2 linked regions of the Canis lupus familiaris genome follow. The protein of the gene in region 1 interacts with the protein of each later gene in a pairwise test. Links are inferred from orthologs where the notes say so. Each region holds a gene or a part of one and is shown on either strand. Other genes may lie near its edges.

Region 1 (9,715 bases):
TTTGTAGACCTTTTAGGACCCTTTTGGCTTTTACTCCCATTGAAAGAAGAAGCTACAGGAGGATTTTGAGCAGAAGAAAAACCTGATAAAAAGGATCCCTTTGCTTAGGAAGCTCTTGCAGTATTTCAAGCAAAAAAATGTTAGGGATTTGAACTGGAGTGATAGCACTAGAGGTGGCGTGAAGTGATTTGATTCAATATATTTTAAATGTAGAACCAAAGGGATGTCCTGATTATTGGATATGGGCGAGAAAAGCAGAAAGAAGTCAAAATCACTATTAAGATTTTGACCTGATGCTGACAAGATGGAGGATTCTACTGAATTGAAAGAGCTTGTACTAGAAACAAAGGGTTTTTTGGAGGGTGGGCAAGAAGGATGGAGAAATGAGGTAAGACAATAGGGAGTTTGGTCTGGGACCTGTTAAGTTTAAGATGTTTAGTACACATTTGTTCTGGTTACTTATTTTGTAAGGAATGACTCCAACCTTAATGGCATAAAACAACCATTTTATTGTTCTCAGGAATTCTGTGGGTTAGGAATTTGGACAGGGCACAGCTGGGATGGCTTATCTCTTCCATTATGTTTGGGGCATCTGCTGGAACAATTCCAATGGCTGGGGGCTGAAAGCATCTGATCTGGCACCGGGCCTGAAGGACTTAAAAGGCTGGGTTCAGCTGGGGACTGTCGCTGTAGATACATGTGGCCCTGCCCTGTGGCTCAGGCTTCTCTAAACATGGCGACTAGGTCTCTGGTGGGAGCTTCTGGAGAATGAGTGTACAGGAGACTTGGGTGGAAAGGGCATGATCTTTTCTGACCAAGCCTCAGAGTCATGCAGTGTCACTTCTGCCACGTTGTGTTGATTACAAGTGAGTCACAAAGGCATCTTTGATTCTAGGGGAGAGGAATTTAATGGGGAAGTGGCAAGGGCACATTGCCACAGGTCATGTGGGATGGGAGATGTTATTGCCACTATTTTTGGAAAACAGAGTTGGCCACAGCATCAAGAGATGTCAGTTTAACACTTGCATGGGTGTGGGTTTGGAGTCTGGGGGAGAGATCTGGTCTGTACATGTAATGAATCATTATATAGATGTCATTTAAAGCCCTGTGATTGGTGGACATCATGGGAGTTAGTATAGACGGGAGATGAGAAAAGGCCCAAGGACAGAGCCCTCGGGTAACTGCAACAATGTTCAAATGTCGGAGAAAAGAGAAAACTAGCAAGAGGGACAGAAATGACCAGGGAAGTAGGAAGAAAAATGTGTGACATCCTGTCATCAAAGTTAAAGTAGGTATTTTCTGGAGTAAGGGTCTAGTTGTTGATGAGGCAAGAAAGACTAAGACTGAAAATTGGCTGTTGGATTTAGCAATTTGCAGGTAACTGATAACCTCATCAAGAGCAGCATCAGCATGCCAGAGAAAGCTGTTTGAGTAAGTTTAAGAGTACTTGGTGGGAAGGAATTGGAAACAGAGACTAACCACCTCAAGGAATCTTTTTGTAAAGAGGAATAACAAAAATAGGGTGGTAGCTGGAGGATAAAGGAGGGATAGAAGGTTTTTTGCTTAGTAACATGGGAGAGACAACTGCGTATTTGTATGATCTAGTGAGAAAGGGACACATTGAGGGTGACGAGGAAATGCTGAATTTCTGGAGCTGTGTCCCTGCATATAGGAAGGAGTCCAGCTGCATCAGAGCATGTTTTGAATTGGCCATGCAGAAGAGAAAGCAGAGTATGTGAGTATAGATGCCAGCAGGTGAGTAGATGTGATGGTGAGATTTTGAAGTTCTCTTGATTACTTCAATCTTCCCATTGATGTGGGTATAACTTATGATACAAGTTATAAAACACTTAGCTGTTGATGCATGAGATTAACCTATTTTTGTCTGAGATTAAGTCCTTACTCTTTTTAAAATGGGTCTTCTGTGAAAAGTGATATTAAATGGGTTTTTTCGGGATCCCTGGTGGCGCAGCGGTTTGGCGCCTGCCTTTGGCCCAGGGCGCGATCCTGGAGACCCGGGATCGAATCCCACGTCAGGCTCCCGGTGCATGGAGCCTGCTTCTCCCTCTGCCTGTGTCTCTGCCTCATTCTCTCTCTCTCTCTGTGACTATCACAAATAAATAAAAAATTTTAAAAAAATTAAAAAAAAATAAATGGATTTTTTCTTTTAATCTTTTATTGAAGAATAGCACACACACGTTTGCAAATAAGTATATAGCTCCATAAATTATCACAAACACACCTATGTACCACACCCAGATCAAGAAGGAGAACATTTGTGGCCTCTAGTTGTTTTTGTTTTGTTTTGTTTCTCCCCTAAAATATCCTTAGTTCAGAAAATAGAAAGCTAGTCATCCATGTGTTTAGATCAAGGATATTTTTGTAAAACTTACTGGCCTGTGAAACCCAAAAGTCTGGTAATATGTTTAACATTGAGGAGTCTAATAAGCCTTACTGGGCCATCCTGCTAGAAGAAAGAAAGAAAGAAACAATTCCCAAATGTCCTATAAGTTTCCAGAGTCATGAGAAAATTTCTAAACCATGACGGGACACCAATTCCTCGAGCATTCTTCGAGCATTCTTCAAATCATGTGCTTCATGAGTGACTTTACTCTTATGCTATGAACACCAACAATTTTTTAAAAGGATTTCAGATTCATGAAGATAAAATGCCTCGTGCCCTCTTCAGTTAACCACAAATTTACCGAGAGGAGTCATTTTTCCTTTTTCTTGCCGCTGTCCCAAAGAAAGGAGGCCTGATTTCCCTTACAACATGTCTCCAATCTAGTTTCCTCATGATGTTTTTAGGAAGGTGACTTTCCAAGACAATGTGCTGGTCACCTATTCTATTAGTGATGATCTGAATTATTTCTCTTTTTAAGATGTCATCCACCAAAACAAAAATGAAGAGTATGTGGCTGGTGTACTTTTCTTAGGGAAGCCCTTGTGTCTTATAGGCTTTTGTCTAATTATTTTGTATGGTTTCCTGTATACCACCTCTAATACACACATATCCTGTAATTAAGGTAATAGTTTCTTAGCTGAATATTAGTGTTTGGGAAAACTTGCCTCTTTTTTTAATCACTTGCACTTGCACTCGGTCTGTACATTTTGCCTGTGATTGTGTTCATTTTAGTGTTTCATTTTCTGGGTGATGTGCCTTGTGTGATTTTGGTTTTCATTTACCGATGGTTGAGAGCAACCATCTTGTGGCCCTAAAAGACAGCTCTTTGCCCCTCTTTTCAGAGTCCTTGCTTGATTCTTCTTGTGCTGTGTTTCATAATTGGTATTTAATGAGATCCCCCAGAATACCAGTCCTCCACCCTCAAGGAAACCTGTGACCCCCTTTATTCCTGTATAAGCAAATTGGAGAAAATATGTAGATGTTTTTAGAAGTTAATTTTATTATATGAAGATAGCATACAAAATACATTCATAGTGACTAGAGATGTAGGACAAAATTAAGTCTTACTTAATATCTGCAGCATATATTCTTGGTATGTATAAAAGTAATTTTTTAAATTTCCAGTTTCCTTAAATAGTTACGCACAAAACACACACACGTATATACACATACACTGTCAGTCAAAGATGCGCTCTTCCTTTCACCCACTAAAAGGGGCTGGCAAGTATCTGTTTCATGTTTGACATTCTTACAGGCTGGGAAACAAGGCACGGTTAGGAGATCTACATACCATTTTTCAGGATTTAGACACATTTCTTCCATGGGCTAAAACTAAGGTCTACGCATCGTTTCTTAGACTAACTGGATACAGACTTGCATGAGGTTTCAGTCCCATTCCACCCACACTGTTACACATACAGGTTCTCCCAAATCCTGAAAGGAAATGCTGCCTTGCTTGTTAGTGCCAACTATTTGTATCACAAGTGACAAATGGTTCTAATAATATCAGTTAATTAGTGTTTTAATTTTCAGTGCTTTTTAATGTCCAGTGCTGGTTAATGAACCATTCTGGCAAGCATGTCACAAAGATTCATTATTGCAAGCTTCCATTCTTTTTTCTGTGCTAAGACTCTAGATGGGACCGTTTTTGACTGATGGGCTCAACCTGAGTCTTTGAAGCAGCCAAATTAACATAGTTCTAATACATTTTGGGGGGGGGGGGGAGACAGTATTACTGAGGTCCCTGAATAATTAAGAATTAGATTATTGAAATTGAGATACTGTATGTAGAGTTAAGGTGTTCATTTTCACTAATTGCTGGATCTTTTTCTGATTTGGAAAAAACAAAATAACTAATTAAAGTCTTTTTAAATTGTCCCTGTTGAACCTCCTCTGGTTACCTGACTGATACTGTTGCCAGCTATCACAGGTGCTTTTGTGCATGCAAGGAAGAAGAACAAAGCTCATCCCCTCTTCTAGCCCCTGGCCTGATTTTGTTTGCGCTGGGCTCTTGGTGGGGAGGCCTGCCTCACTTCTCTGCTGGCCAGAGGCTTCTCCAGCAGAGCCACCACTGGAGCATCCGGTACCTCACTTGGGGTGTTGCTTACTGTCCCATCTTTTTATACTAAGAATCTTGAACCAAGAATGTGATACACAGAGTAGGAAGCAAAGATTCTTCTATTATATTTCAGGTTCTAGAGATAAGTTACTTGCATAAAGGGAAGTGTACTCTTCTCTATAACCAGAAGCAGCAATTCACTGTTGCCTGTCCAGCCTTGACTGGCTTTAGAAGGTGCATACATCCTAAACACATAGCATCAAACAGAGCCAATTGAGAGATCCAGGGTCTTTAAACCCTGAAGAGTAGGCACCCTTTTGTACCCTGTCTCCCTATTTCCATCATTCTCAGACCCAAGACAAGGTCCAAAGTAGATGAAAAGAGGCTTTTCTCCTATTGATGGCTCATTAACTAATATCCTGAGTCCCAATTCTGAAAGTATCTTGCATAAATTACATATCACCTTTTTTTCTCAAGGAGCATAAAGTGCTTAATAAACATTGGTTAATGCTCTTCCCCATCTTTCCAGTGGACTAGGGTGAGATAGTAGAATCCCCATTAAAAAGGAAACATGATTGACTTCCTGTCCTTTGGGTCCCAACTGTTTCAGTGAGTTGGTTTGGTTGGTATCGAGATGGGGTTTTCACTCTGTTCATCCTATTTTTGCTCCATCTATTCTGGTTTTGGTATAGAGGAAACCCTCCACAAGACTCATTTTCATCCTCCTCAGCTTCCTTTTATAACTAACTATATAAAACAGGTTAATGTAAAAAAATTGAAGTGTCTTGGTTATACATTTTAAGACTCAAAATAGAATCTGACAATATTTTTGGAAATGTGGCTTAAAGCCCGACAAGTAACCCTAACAAACCAAACTCATTCCAATTAGGTTGCTCTGAGCAGTCAGCTAAGTGTGAGGCCATCATGCCATGGAGCCAACTTAGCTCAGGGTGAGTTTGCAGTGTGTCTTGCTAGAGGGGCCTGCAGTCTCAGCTCAGATTTGAGCACGAAGCTCCATGCTAGAAATTTCAAAATGTGCCATAAATGGGAATGGGCATAGGTCCAATCCCATAGCTAACATTTTACAATTTGTTTCATAGTTCCAAAAAAAATGTGTTTGTCCTTTTATTGCCTGCTGGAGTCCGGAAATGTCCCCTCATCCTTCTGTCCTGTCTGCTCCCTGGCTGGGTTCTCCATGTGGACCAGGTTTGGTCAGGGTTTGGAAGCCACAGCAGTGTCATGGCTGACAGCCCTCTCCTACTCCCTTCCCATATGGGACAGCACAAAAATTCTTTGTCCTGTTTGATCTCTTCTTTCTTTCTCCCTTCTTTCCTTCTCCTCTTTGCCATCACATCTGCTAGAGGACCCCAGAGACATCATGTAGGTCAGCTTAGGACTCGTCTCCTGGTTCCAGGGTGCCGGTGGCTGACCCTGTGGAATCCATACTGCATTGCATGATCAATGCACCTCCTGAATCGTCAAATGCCCTGTGGTCTCGGGGTAGGAGCAGGTAAGTCATTGGGCTTAGAAAGGGTTTCTCTAACACACTGAATAATGTGAAGATTTACTAGTGGTGTTTTTCACTTGTCACTATTACTCTATCTGGGGTTACATTCTTGTTAGTCAAAAAGAAAAAAAAAAAAGCACTATTAAAAATCATAAAAGTCAGCTTGCTCCTGTGGAAAGGTAAAGGTGTAAATTTATATGTGTCATACTGGCAAAAGCTAGTTTTCAGGGAGCATAAATACTTGTGTGGTTCTAGAAATAAGGCGACGTGTCAAACTTTAGACAGGCGGGGTGGAGTATAAGACCACCGAGTTGTAGTCTGGGGGAGGCGAGCAGCACGAAATCTTCTTTTCCAGCTCTGAGTTGTCATATGTAAATCTGCGCCTGCCTCTGTTGATGTGCCCACACCTGGAATGGCAGAAAGGCCGTGTGAGGTCAGAAAGCCCCGACTCCTTACTTTTACTGGTTACTCGCAAGCTAAAGAAAGAAAAGAAAAAAAAAATATACAAAATTGATGAAAACAATTGAAAACAAACACTAACCTCCACTCTTTTCCGTCAGGTCATTTGCTCATAACTGTTCTAGAGTTAACGGCTATTGAATCCCATCTCAACCTCCGATCAGAGTCTCTTTGTTCTAGAGCTGCACACTGCTTCTCTACTACCAGCTTGGTGGCACCAGGCAGACAGATGCCTTCCTCTGGCTGGGGGGTGGATTGTGTGAAGAGAGAACTGCAGATCCATAATCCCAGGTCGAGAATAGCTCCCAGGCCGGTATGGCCCTCCCCTGCACTTGGGCCAGCCAGCTACTGTGGTAGGCTGAACAATGCTCCTGCCTCCAAAATAAATTGATCTCAAATCCCTGGAACCTGTGAAGAGCACTTTGTGTTCTAGAGACTGAATATTACCTCATGTGGCAAGACAGGTGATTAAGCTAAGGATCTTCAGAGGAGGAACTGAGTTTGAGTTACCCAGGTAGGCCTTAAATACAAACACATGCATCCTTATAAGAGATGCAGAGAGAGCATCACAGCCACACGCAGAAGGTAGTGGTTGGAGGTAGAGTAGGGAGACATGGCCACAAGCCAAGGGATGCTGAGAGACGTCAGGGGCCAGAGGAGGGGAGGAATGGATTCTCCTCAGAGCCTCCAGAGGAATCTTGGCCCTGCCAACACCTTGATTTCAGACTTCTGGCCTCTAGAACTGCAAGAGAATACACTTCTCTTGGTTTAAGCCACCAACTTTGTGGTAATGTGTTACAACAGCCTCAAGAAATGAATAGAGCTTCAGGCAAACAGGTTAGTACCATTGTCTCCCTGTCATGTTTGTGTCCTAGAAAATTTAGGTTATGGGATGGTCACTACTAAGCAAGGCTCACAGGAGAAGAAGCTTGCTTCTGGTTCTGTGTGTCTCATACAGCCTGAAACAGATACACAAGAAAGAAAAGCTTCTCTTGTCCGTTTGTATTTGTTTATTAATAGCTGGGATGAGCTGAGTGAAGTAAGTCAGTCGGAGAAGGACAAACATTATATGTTCTCATTCATTTGGGGAATATAAATAATAGTGAAAGGGAATATAAGGGAAGGGAGAAGAAATGTGTGGGAAATATCAGAAAGGGAGACAGAACGTAAAGACTGCTAACTCTGGGAAACGAACTAGGGGTGGTAGAAGGGGAGGAGGGCGGGGGGTGGGAGTGAATGGGTGACGGGCACTGGGGGTTATTCTGTATGTTGGTAAATTGAACACCAATAAAAAATAAATTTAAAAAAATAGCTGGGATGAGAACAAGAAAACCCACACATTAATGTTGTTGTTGAGAACAAGAAAACCCACACATTAATGTGGCCACAATAATGTGCCACCACATTATTTCATTGGGTTCTGGATTAACAACATCAAGCACTTGCTGTATTTTTAATCTCAGAGTAGAGGGTGCAATTATGGTTTTCTTTCACAGAGATCTAGATAAGTATTCCAAAATAGGAAACAAAAGGTTGTCGGTAGCCTTTCTTTCCTAGCTTAGACACTTGTTCTTTGTGAGGGTCCCCTAATCTGCTACCCTACGAGGGGACTCTGCTCTGGTGCCATCACGGTGCTCATGTTAAAAGCAATCAAGTATGAAGATGTTTGCCTGGTAATGTTCTCACCTTTGGATTTACTTGTGGTTGTTAAACTATGCTGTGTCACTTAGAGGTGTTTGGGGCCATCTTTTGACTTGAATCAAGGTCAGCAAACTATAGCCTGTGGGCTGACCACCTGCTTGGTTGTTTTTTGTTGTTGTTGTTTGTTTGGTTTGAAACAGGTTTATTGAAATACAGTTCACCTGTTGAAAGTGTCCAGTTGAATGGAATGGACACATCTGTGCCATTCACAGATGGCACAAGCATCAACATAATTGATTTTAGAACATTTTCATCACCCCCCAGAACCAATACCCGTTAGCATAGCTAGCCAGTCACTCTTCCCCACACTTCCCACCACCAGCCCTAGACAACCACTGATCTACTTTGTTTCTATAGATTGGCCTATTCCTGGCATTTAATATAAAGGGAATCATTTATGCTATGTAGTCTGTTGTGACTGGCTTTGTTCACTTAAAAATGTTTTCAATGTTTATCCATATTGTAATGTGTCAGAACTTTGTAGTTTTTTATTAGCAAACATTTGTATGGGTAATACTGCATTCTATCTGCTCATCAATCGAAGGACATTTGGCTTGGTTTTACTTTGGGTTATTAATGATGCTGCTATGAACATTTGGGAATAAACTTTGGTGTGAACATAAGTTTTTGTTCTGTTGGGTATGTACTGAGGGAGTAGAATTGCTGGGTCATGGAGTAATGCTATTTAACCTTCTGAAGACCTGCTATTCTGTTTCCCAAAGTGGCTGCACCATCTTACATTGCCACAGCAACACCAAGAGCTTATGATTTCTCCACATCCTCATCAGTATTTTTGGTTCTAGCCATCCTCGTGGGTGTGAAGTGGTGTCTCGTCCTGGTTTTGATATGCATTTCCCTGACGACTAACGACCTTAAATATCATTTCATGTGCTCATTGACCATGGCCAGCTGTTTCTGTAAATAAAGTTTATTGGAACACAGCCACACCTTCTTGTTTATATATTGGTGATGGCTGCTTTTATCCTACAATGGCAAAGTTGGTTCGTTGTTTTCTGTGTGACTCATAAAAAGTCTGCTGACCTCTGATTTAGATGAAAGAGGATCACATTCTGCCTTTGGGTGAGACAGGGGCAGCATTTGAATCAGGAAAGGTAGGAATGCCCGATAGACAGGCCCAGGCTTCGCCTGGCCAGCATGATTCCTAGGTAGAGACTAGCTCAGAGGAGCTAAGGTGATAGCAGGGCCAGTGGAGCAAAAAGCTGGAGCCTAATTCCAACAGCACTTGCTGCTGGCTACCGTAGGGAGGGAGGAGTGCTTCCAACAGGAAACAGGCCTTCATTTGGAAGGGTTGGCTTCTCAGGATGGCAGATCTTAGGACTAGAAAACAGGACTGTGACAACTGCTTCCTGTACAAACACTGCCAGCCCAGGGTATAATCATGGGCCAGCTTCCCTCCCTGCCCCCATAAGCATGTCTCCATCTGTTCACAGTTGGGCACGTCAGCCTCCTTCCAGCTGAGGCACTGTACTTCATGTGTTTGGACTGCCTGTCCCTGCTGCAGTTTTCTGCCTGTTTTTACTTCTCAAATCCCAAGCTTCCTGCTCAGCACTTGGTGCTCATATCT
Region 2 (9,715 bases), on another chromosome or scaffold:
GCACAGGGCACTGTGGCCGAGCAGGGGTGGGGTGGAGGGCTTCCTGGAGGCGGTGGGGCTACCTCTGAGGGAGGAGGTGAGCAGAGGACATTCTAGGCAGAGGTCACCCTGTCGGGAGACAGAGCTGGAGGGGTCAGGGAGGCTCATGGGGAAAAGCTGGGATGTGTCCAGACAGCGCCGTGACCCTGGGAAGTGCTGTGACATGTGGCTGTGAGGGTGCAAAGGAGGGAGCCCGTGCGGGGGCCTCAGCTGCTGTGTGGTTCGTGCAGCAACGGGTCCACTCAGGGGCTGGCGAATGGTGCAGGCACACAAATGACCTTGGAAACGAGTGTGCAAATGTGCACACCAAGCAAGCCTGCAATGAGTGAATATGTGTGTGAGCGCACAAATGCAAATGAGCAAGTGAATAAATGAGCATGCAAATGAGCAAGTGAATAAATGAGCATGCAAGTGAGCAAATGAATATAAATGAGCATGCAAACGAGCACACGGGGCGGTGTGCAGACTGGGGCCTCTGGCAGGTCTCACCCCTGCATGGCTGCACTGGGTGTGCCAGGTGAGTGTGCCACACCTCAGTGTCCGTGTGAGTGGACATGAGGGCCGAAGCGTGATGTGCCAGGGTGTGAAGACGGGCTCGAGTGTCTGAGGGTCGGTGGGACTGATTGTGTCTCTGGGCATTCAATGTGGGAGGCCCTGTGTGTGGGAGGGTGAGTCTGAGTGTGAGACCCTGTGTGTGTGTGTCCGGGCCTTGGGAGTGTGCATGTGTGAGTCTGGCTGCTGCCTCCGCACTCGGCCCGGGAGGGGGCTCCCCACCCCGGCGCCCTCCTGGTCCCCGGTGCCCACTACCCACCCCGTCCTCCCTGGGCCCTCCCTGCGGCCCCGGCCTAGTGAACAGTTGAGCCCGGCCCCGTGACTGCGCGTGTCTCTCTCTGGCCAGATCATTGCCAACCACCACATGCAGTCCATCTCCTTCGCGTCAGGCGGCGACACGGTAAGGCTGGGGCCGGGGGGGTGGACTTCTGGTTCCCTGTGTCCCCTGCAGCCTTGAGACCCTCTGCTCCCGCGGAGCTAGGCGAGGAGGCCCGCAGCCCGGGCAGGCTGGCGGAGGGGGTCTGACTGACCCCTGTCACCCGTCCTCTCTCCCCAGGACATGACGGACTATGTGGCCTACGTAGCCAAGGATCCCATCAACCAGAGAGGTGAGGGTGGGCGGGGCGGGCCGGGCAGGGTGTGCCAGCCGGCACGGCCACACCAATGCCGCGTGACCGCCATCCGCAGCCTGCCACATCCTGGAGTGCTGCGAGGGCCTCGCCCAGAGCATCATCAGCACCGTGGGCCAGGCCTTCGAGCTGCGCTTCAAGCAGTACCTGCACAGCCCGCCCAGGGTGGCGGTGCCCCCGGAGAGGTACCAGCCCGCCCCCCCCGCTCCCCGCGCTCACCTCCGCCCTGGCTCTCAGCCACCGTCCTGTTCCCACACCTGTTAACCCAGATGAAAACCCGAACCCTAACCCCCCCCCGCCCTCCCCCTGCCCGGCTGAGGCGAGGATCCAGGGCCCGTCGCGGCGGCTGTCATCTCCAGTCTGCACGGGGGTGGCCAGCGTGTCTGTGAAGGGCCCACAGTCAATGTTTTCGGCGTCGTGGGCCAGACCACCTGTCTCGGCCGCGTGGCAAGAGCAGCCGTGGGGGCTGCTAGCGCTCGGTGGGCCCCAGGCCAGCCAGCCTTTATTTATAGACGCTAAATCTCAAATTTCATGTCACTTTTCCGCGTCACCAGACATCGTTCTCTGGACGTTCTCTGAATCGTTTCAAAGTTCTGTGGCTGAAAAGCGTAGAAAGCACCTGCAGCTGCAGGGCAGGGGCCGGGTCGTACCTCAGCGGGCAGAAGGAGACCCCGTATGGAGTGTTAGGAATTCACACGTGCGTGACAAGGCACAGGAAGGGTTTGCAGAGAGAGCCGGGGCCCCGAGTCCCCTCCGCTCTGCCCGGCAGCCGCCTGCCCGTCCCGTGCCACCTGCACACCCGCCTCCTGGCTGGGGCCCCCAGCCCGGCTCGTCCCGCTCCCCTGTGCAAGGCTCAGGCCACAGGCCCTTGGCCCCCCCAACCCTCCCTCCCGGCCCTGAGCGCGGAGCCTCCTGTGCTTGTGTGTGTGTGCAGGCTCACCAGGCCCGAGGAGTCGGCCTGGGGCGACGAGGACGAAGCGGACCACAATTACTACAACAGCATCCCGGGGAAGGAGCCACCCCCGGGCGGGCTGGTGGACTCCAGGCTCGCCCTGGCTCAGCCCGGTGCCCTCGGGGCCCTCGGCCAGGTCAGCCCCGTGGGCCCCCTGGGGGCGGGGTCTGCCAGGGTGGTCCTTGGGCCCCCAGCTTCTTCTGCTCCCTTCCCCGTGATCCTAATGGAGGGTCCCTGCCTCCCCCACTTCCTTCCCCAAATCGCACAGATGCGTCTGGCTCCACGGCCGATCCGCGGTCACGACTCCCCGCTCCAGACGCTCGGGTGATTGTGTCAGAGGTTTAATCGGGGCCGTGAGCTGAGCTCCCAGGGGTGGTCTCAAGAGTCCACAACAGGGAGACTGACCCTGTGGCCGGGAAAGCAGTGTCTGGGCTGGGCTCCGGCGGGTGAATAGGAGTTGCCTGGGCGAGCAGTGCAGGGAAGGGCACCCCAGCGGAGGGAACAGCGTGTGGCAGGAGCCGAGCGGGCAGCTGAGGCTGCAGCGGAGGCGAGTGGACAGATGGACAGACGAGGGCAGTTGCAGAGCCAGGGGCTGGGCAGCGTTGAGAGGCCTTGGAGCTGCCCTTCGCGTCTGACTTTTGTCTCCAGCCCTGCGGGGGGCGGGGCGCCGGGCTGGGCAGGGGGCTTGCACCTGCAGGAGGACCCCCGCTCTCTGTTTCAGGGGGCAGCTCCTGCTCGACGGGACGCCCGCAGCCTGCCATGGGACCTGGGCCCGTCAGGTGCTGGTAGGTGCCCCGGGGGCTCAGCTGTGGGCCCCTCCTCTTCCACCCGTGACCCGGTGCTTGCTCCCCAGGCTCCAGACTCGTTGCTTTGCTTTTTGGGGGGAGCGATACTGCATTCCCGTGGTTCAAAATGCCAGCGCGTAGGAAGGCGTTCAGCGACAAGTCCCGTCTGCCCGTCCACGTCCGGTCGGGCCACCACTGTCGTCGTTGCTAGCGTGCGTTACTTTTCCAGATTTTTCCATGTGTAGTCAAGCCAATTCAGTGCGTACATCGTCCGGCTCGCTCCTGCAGATGGTGCATCGTGTGCACACTCCCACCGTGCGTTCGCCACACGGCCGACCCCGCACCGGGGCCCGGAGAAAGCGTGCAGTTGCCCTCCCGTCAGGTGTTTTTTAACAAAATGATTCCGTTTTCAGCCCGTGAGCATTTTATCCTGTGACTCATCATTCAAAACGACACGAGGCTAGAATCCGCCTTGGGCCCGGCTCCCCTCTGGGACCTCACCTCCCCCGCGCCCCCCCCCCCCCCCCCCCCCCCCCCCCCGCCACTCTTGATGGGCTCAGAGCCTCCGTGCTGAGCGAGCCGAGGCCGCCCTCCCAGGTGGCCGTGCCAGGCGCCTCGCCCACCCGCCTGCTGCGGCCGCCTGTTCCCTCCAGCCTCTACAACACCTGCGCTGCGTTTGCTGCTATTTTCGATCTTCCCGAATCATCTGGGCATTTCGCTGCCACGCGTCAGAACCCTCCCTGACTCCCAGCGCCGTGGTTAAAGAGCCCTTCTGTCACTGGGCAGCCACCGGGGCCCTGGTGCTGGGCCCACGGCCCCGTGTCACTCCTGAGTCCCGGGGCTCCCCAGCATCTCCCGGCCGGAGCCTCTGTGAACTGCTCTTCCCCGCTCTAGCCAACGACGCCGGCGACACGCTCCCACCCCAGCTCCCACGGCCTGGGATTCTCCGTCTGGACGCCTGCCGCCCGGGGTTCGTCCCTGTTACGCGGCCCCGGCCCCGAAAGGCTGGGGGACTGGCCATCCTCCGGGTGGGCCCAGGCTGACACTCCTGTTGAGCCAGAACCCCTGCCGGATACCGTCCTGCAGGCTTAATGCCCCTGCTTGTAAAGGGGCAGCTCCGATTCTCCCCGTGTCACAGAGCACGGGACTGGGCACGAGAGGTCCGCTCACGTGCCCGTGTCCATGGATGGCAGGTGGAGCCGGCCTGTGAGCTCCCAAGTCCACGGGGAAGGACGAGGTGGGCATAGCAGGGACATTGCAAACTGTGTATTGGAATCATCGCTTCTGTGCCGGGACTACAAGTGGTGACGTTCAGAGATCCACAGACAGTTCTGGAAAAACACACACGAGTTAACTTTGAACCTTGCAAAGAGGCTCAGCCTTGCTCAAAATAAGGGAAACGGGAGCTAATGTCCTCGTGGGGCCACGTCTCACCTCTCAGCCCCGCAGACACCCGGCACCTGCTCGGACGCCGCGGGGAGCGCCGGGGAACCGGGCACAGGTGGCCCGGTCGGGACCCCGCAGAAGCTGGGGTGCTGAGTGGACCCGAGGGACAAATCCCTCCAGGGATGACTTTTCCTGCGGGGGAGGCTTTTGAAGCACAGAAATGCTTCACACGCTCACAATTAACGTTCAAGAGAACAGGAAGGAACTCCTAAAATAGAACAGAAACGAGTGACCATGCGTCACGTGGGTGACGTGGATGACACAGTTACGGGCGGAGCAGTGTCATTGTTATTTTTCAGACGTGGGCGTTTCACACTCACGTAGGGATTCCTGCCGCCGGGCTGCCTGGGGGCAGCGGCCCCACTGATGTGGTGCCCAGCTGCCCCGCAGCCCCTGGGGACATGGCGGGGTGGTCAGCCAGAGGGTGCTGCACGGCGTCTTTCCCGGGGGCGCCGGGCGTGGGTGGCCCCCGCTGACCCCGCCGCTCTCCTGTGTTCGCAGGCCCACCGGGGGACGGCTACGTGCAGGCCGACGCCAGGGGCCCCAGAGACTACGAGGACCACCTGTACGTCAACACGCAGGGTCTGGATGCCCCGGAGCTCCCGCAGGCAGAGGACAGCCCCAAGAAGGATCTGTTTGACATGCGTACGTGGGGGGGCCCAGCCTGCTGCCCCTTGGGGCTTGGCAAGCTGGTGAGGGTGGCGTGGGGACGAGTGCTTCCTCTGGGACTCCCGGTCTGATGGTGGAGGCTCCGGGGCCCCCCTTCCTGGGACTCTGCAGTCTCTTAGGGGGTAAGCGAGTTTCCTCTCTAGTTTAAGGGGAGGGCGCTCTTCTCTATGAGACTCCCCCCTCTCCTGGGGGACTGGGCTCCTTCCCCCTGCCGGCCCCCCGCCCCCCGTCTGATGAGGGGCTTTAGCTGGCTCCTCCCTGGTTGGAGGACCTGGGCCCTAACCCTCCCACTGGGCTTGTCTCATGGAGGAGGCTTGCGTCCAGGGCACCCTCCTGATCCAACCACGCTGTCCTGTTCCGCCAGCGCGTCGGGGTCTTGGCCCGTGAGGGGTCGTTTCCCTACCTCAGACACCCCCTAGTGGGAGATACCCCGGATCCACCCAAGCCAGCTGGGAATTTTGGGCTTCACCGAGTCTGCAGAGCACCCCCAGCCCAACAGCCCAGAGTCTTAGCACCAGCCGACCCGAGCTGTCCCTGCAGCAGCTGCCGCTGGCTCCTCACAGCCACCCTCATGCTGGCCGTCCCCTGGGGGTGACCAGATGGCCCAGCGACCCCGGCCAGGCTTCCCTTGAGAATTCTGGGCCGCCCCGGGCCGGCGGGTGGCAGGCTGAGGAGGACACGTGGCTTGGCCAGGCCCGGTCCCGGGTCCTGGCGGCCAGATGTCCAGCTGCACTTGGACCACAGGATTCCCAAGGGGCAGGGGGTGGCAGGGCTGTAGGGGCCCCGGGGACAGCTGCTCGGGGCCGGTCGCTGGGGCGTCGGGGAGCCTGACCTGTGCGGCCCTGCGTCCCACTTACGGCAAGGAGACCGACAGAGGGCGAGCGGCACGTCCGGGTGACACGTCCAGGTGATGCTGGCGCCTGGTGGGAGCCTCAGGAAGCCCCTGGGGACCCGCAGGGGCCCCCGGGTCTGTAGGAGGCAGGCGTGCACGGCTGGTGCGGGGGCTGCATGTGACAGGGGCTGCACGACACGGGTGCCACAGACACTGGGCAGGAGGCCGCAGGGACGAGACAAGAAAAAGAAGTGTGTGTGCACGTTGTCGTCGCCTATATGTGCCGCTCAACTACCAGGACCCGACAGCGGTGAAGAAGAGCGGTGCACGGTTGGCGCCACACAGCAGGCAGGCAGAGCACAGGCACACAGCACGCAGTGCACACTCACCACACACACCCACAAGTGGACACTCAGCACACACACCACCACACACCCACTCAGCAACGCTCCCACACAGTGCACACTCAGCACACACCTGCTCAACACAATGCACACACCCACTCAGCACACACTCCCACACAGTGCACACTCAGCACACACACCCACTCAGCACCCCCAGGTGCACACTCAGCACACACCCAGTGAGGGCCTGCGGGCTCAGTGCGAGGTCCCCAGCGCAGACCCCTCCCCCTCCAGCCCTGCCCCCAGGGGGCAGCTGCCCGCCCCTGACTCCAGCTTGTCCTCGTCCTCGCCCGCAGGACCCTTCGAGGATGCTCTGAAGCTGCACGAGTGCTCTGCGGGGGCGGGCACGGCGGTGGCGCCCCTTCCCGTGGAGGATCAGTGGCCCAGCCCCCCCACCCGCCGGGCGCCCATCGCCCCCACGGAGGAGCAGCTGCGGCAGGAACCCTGGTACCATGGCCAGATGAGCCGGAGGGCGGCAGAGAAGCTGCTCCGAGCCGACGGGGACTTCCTGGTGCGCGACAGCGTCACTAACCCCGGGCAGTACGTCCTCACGGGCATGCACGCGGGGCAGCCCAAGCACCTGCTGCTGGTGGACCCAGAGGGCGTGGTAAGGGGCGGGGCACCGGGCGGGGGCGTGGCCAGAGCGGGCGGGGCGTGGCCAGAGCGGGCGGGGCGTGGTCAGGGCGGACGGGGCGTGGCCAGAGCGGGCGGGGCGTGGTCAGGGCGGGCGGGGCGGGGCCAGAGCGGGCGGGGCGGGGCCAGAGCGGGCGTCCACCTCCGCCTATAGGTTCAGGAAAGTCTGTCCCGGATTACAAAGCCGGCTGTTGACGGATTCTGTCCCGTTTACTAGGTAACTTAGAATTACACAGTATTTCCCACTTTGTCAAGAATTTTGGAATCTATAAAGGAGTTCCCAAGTCAATACAGCATTTTGCGGGTTACAAAACCTTTTCCAATTTCAGGGCCTTTCAGGGTTTACAAAGGACTATATCTGATGCCCTTTCCCCACCGTCTATAATCAGTGTGCATCCTACAAATAATGGTGCCTTGGATAAATATGACGTTTTCTTTTCTAGTGTATTTTAAGGCTCAGAAAGCATGTTTCAATTTACGGGGAGTTCTAGGCTCTACAAGTTGCTAGATGCACACTTTCCCCTTGTTTTGACGTCTTTGAAGCCTGTGGCTTTTTTTTTTTCTGTGTGGGTTTGTTTGTTTGTTTTTTGTTTTTTTAGCCTGTGTGTTTTTAACCCCGTCCTTGAACTGCATGATTCTTTCACTGTGGGTCCCCCCCCTCCTCGTGGTAGATGAAATCGTGCCGCACCTGACCGCTGCTTTGAGTCAATTTGACCTTTGGTATTGTACAGCTCCTAAAGCATTTCGGGGTTTACAAAGCATTTTTCAATTTGCAAGGAGTTCTAGGGTTTATGCCGCGTTTCCCAGCGTCCAAGAAGGGCCTTGGGGTTCACAGCTATTTCCCAGGGGAAGGAGCTTGGGGGTGTTAGAGTCTTGCCAGAGTTTACCAAGTGCTATACTGCCTCCAGCTGAGTCCCCAGAACCGCCCCCGGGGAGCTTGGTATGTTCTCCGTCTCCGTGTAGGTCACTGTCCGGTGGTGAGGTGGGGGGCCTGGCCTGGGGTGGGGGGCTGTTCTTTCCGTTCCCCTTGTGTCTGGCTCAGAGCTGTAATCTCTGGCCTGGCCTGTGAGGTCAGTACCCCCTGGACCCCCATTCCCTCTCTGCTAAGGGATCTACAGGACAGGACTGGCAATTCCTAAAGCTCCAGAAGCTTCAGAACTTCAAGTTCTTTGTCCCAGTTCCAAAGAAGTATAGGGTTTTGCCACGGGGCCCAGGAACGTGCGTTTGAAGCCTGCTCTCCAGAGTCTTGTGTCCACTGAGCTCGCCTTGTCCAGGGACTAGCCGGCAGCGGGGCCAGCGGGCTACCGGCTCTGGTGCATCCAGTTGTAGCATGTGGTGGTGCTAAGATTTTCTCGTTTCGAGATGCAGCAGATTGTTTTCTGTTAGGCGTCCCCGAGATTTCCTAGGGCTGCCCTGCCGAGTGACGGCCAACTAAGTGGTGTAAACGTCAGGAGAGTGTTGTTCCCCAGCTCTGGAGGCCGCAGGGTGGAGAGGCCGGTGCTGTAGGGCTGGCTCCTGCTGGGGCTCCCACAGAGGGCCCCATCCAGGCTCTCCTGGCCCCCGAGGTGCAGGCAGCCCTTGGTGTCCCTGGGCTGTTGACGTGCCCCTCTGGTCACTGCTGTGCCTGCTCTTACAAGGGCACCAGTCGCTGGCTTTGGGGCCTCCAGGAGGAGCTCACCACAGGACTCTTCACTTAGTCACCTCTACAAAGACGCTTTTTCCAAATAAGGTCGCATCCACAGGTGTCAGGGTTTGGGGCAGACATGTCTTTTTGGGGCCTCCATTCAACTTGGGCAGGAAGTGTGGCCCCCGCATCCTGTGCTTTCAGAGCCTGTGTCCCTATCTAACTCTGGAATTCTGAGTCTGACTCTGGTTGAACCGGAAGCTTCTGGGCTGGCGGTTCTGACTCGAGCCTGCATCAGACCCTCGGGGCGGGCCCTCGGGAGGCAGATTCCCCGTCAGCAGGCTCGCCTACAAGCTCCCAGCGGTGCTGATGCCGAGGCCTCTGGCCCTGCAGGTGCGGACCAAGGATGTGCTCTTTGAGAGCATCAGCCACCTCATCGACTACCACCTGCAGAACGGGCAGCCCATCGTGGCCGCCGAAAGCGAGCTGCATCTGCGCGGGGTGGTCAAACGTGAGCCCTGAGCCAGGTGTGTGGTCGGCCCGCGCGCTCCCAGCGTTCACCCGTTCACCCGGTTCCTTTCGCATTTAAAAAATTAAGCAGGAATTCACAAACTACTCAATCCACCCATTTAAAATGTGCCACTCAGTGGTTTTTAGCGTGTTTAGAGATGCACAATCATCCTCTACCTAATTCCAGAACATTCCATTGCCCCAAAAGGAAATCCTGTCCCCGTTAACCATCAGCCCTCAGCCCCCCAACCCCCTTCCCCTCCCCCGGCCTTCCCAACCCCTCCCCGTGTATGGACGAGCCCGTCCTGGACGTGTCACACTCGTGGACTCGCACCCCGGGGGCCTCCTGTGTCTGGTTCCCTCTCTGAGCGTCGTGGGCTTGGGGTCGGTCCCCGGGGCAGGGCATAAGGGCACCTCGCTCCTGCTCAGGCCTGGTGATGTGCCTGCACGTGCGTGGACACGTGTTTACCTGTTCACTCCCATGGGCATCTGGCTGTTTCCACTTTTTGGCTGTTACGATAATGCCACTCAGAACATGCACGTCCAGGTTTCTGTGTGGACGTGAGTTTTCCTTGCTCCTGGGTCTGTACCTGCCGGTGGAGTTGCTGAGGTGGTGACTCCGTGTTGAACTGCTGATAAG

The links.
Region 2: the proteins of FLT1 (region 1) and SHC2 interact in a two-hybrid assay, tested with the Homo sapiens proteins (2 studies listed by BioGRID). The link is inferred for Canis lupus familiaris from reciprocal best matches to the Homo sapiens genes FLT1 and SHC2.

What each region holds. Positions count from the first base shown.
Region 1 is NC_049246.1:11,462,392-11,472,106, reverse strand, and holds the end of FLT1 (vascular endothelial growth factor receptor 1), read right to left. Parts: intron 6,447-9,715; coding exon 6,248-6,446; 3' UTR 3,381-6,247; downstream 1-3,380. UniProt on the Homo sapiens protein: Tyrosine-protein kinase that acts as a cell-surface receptor for VEGFA, VEGFB and PGF, and plays an essential role in the development of embryonic vasculature, the regulation of angiogenesis, cell survival, cell migration, macrophage function, chemotaxis, and cancer cell invasion.
Region 2 is NC_049241.1:58,492,518-58,502,232, forward strand, and holds part of SHC2 (SHC-transforming protein 2), read left to right. Parts: intron 1-937; coding exon 938-991; intron 992-1,147; coding exon 1,148-1,199; intron 1,200-1,278; coding exon 1,279-1,405; intron 1,406-2,154; coding exon 2,155-2,308; intron 2,309-2,893; coding exon 2,894-2,957; intron 2,958-3,186; coding exon 3,187-3,339; intron 3,340-4,904; coding exon 4,905-5,048; intron 5,049-6,604; coding exon 6,605-6,915; intron 6,916-8,958; coding exon 8,959-9,087; 3' UTR 9,088-9,092; intron 9,093-9,715. UniProt on the Homo sapiens protein: Signaling adapter that couples activated growth factor receptors to signaling pathway in neurons. Involved in the signal transduction pathways of neurotrophin-activated Trk receptors in cortical neurons.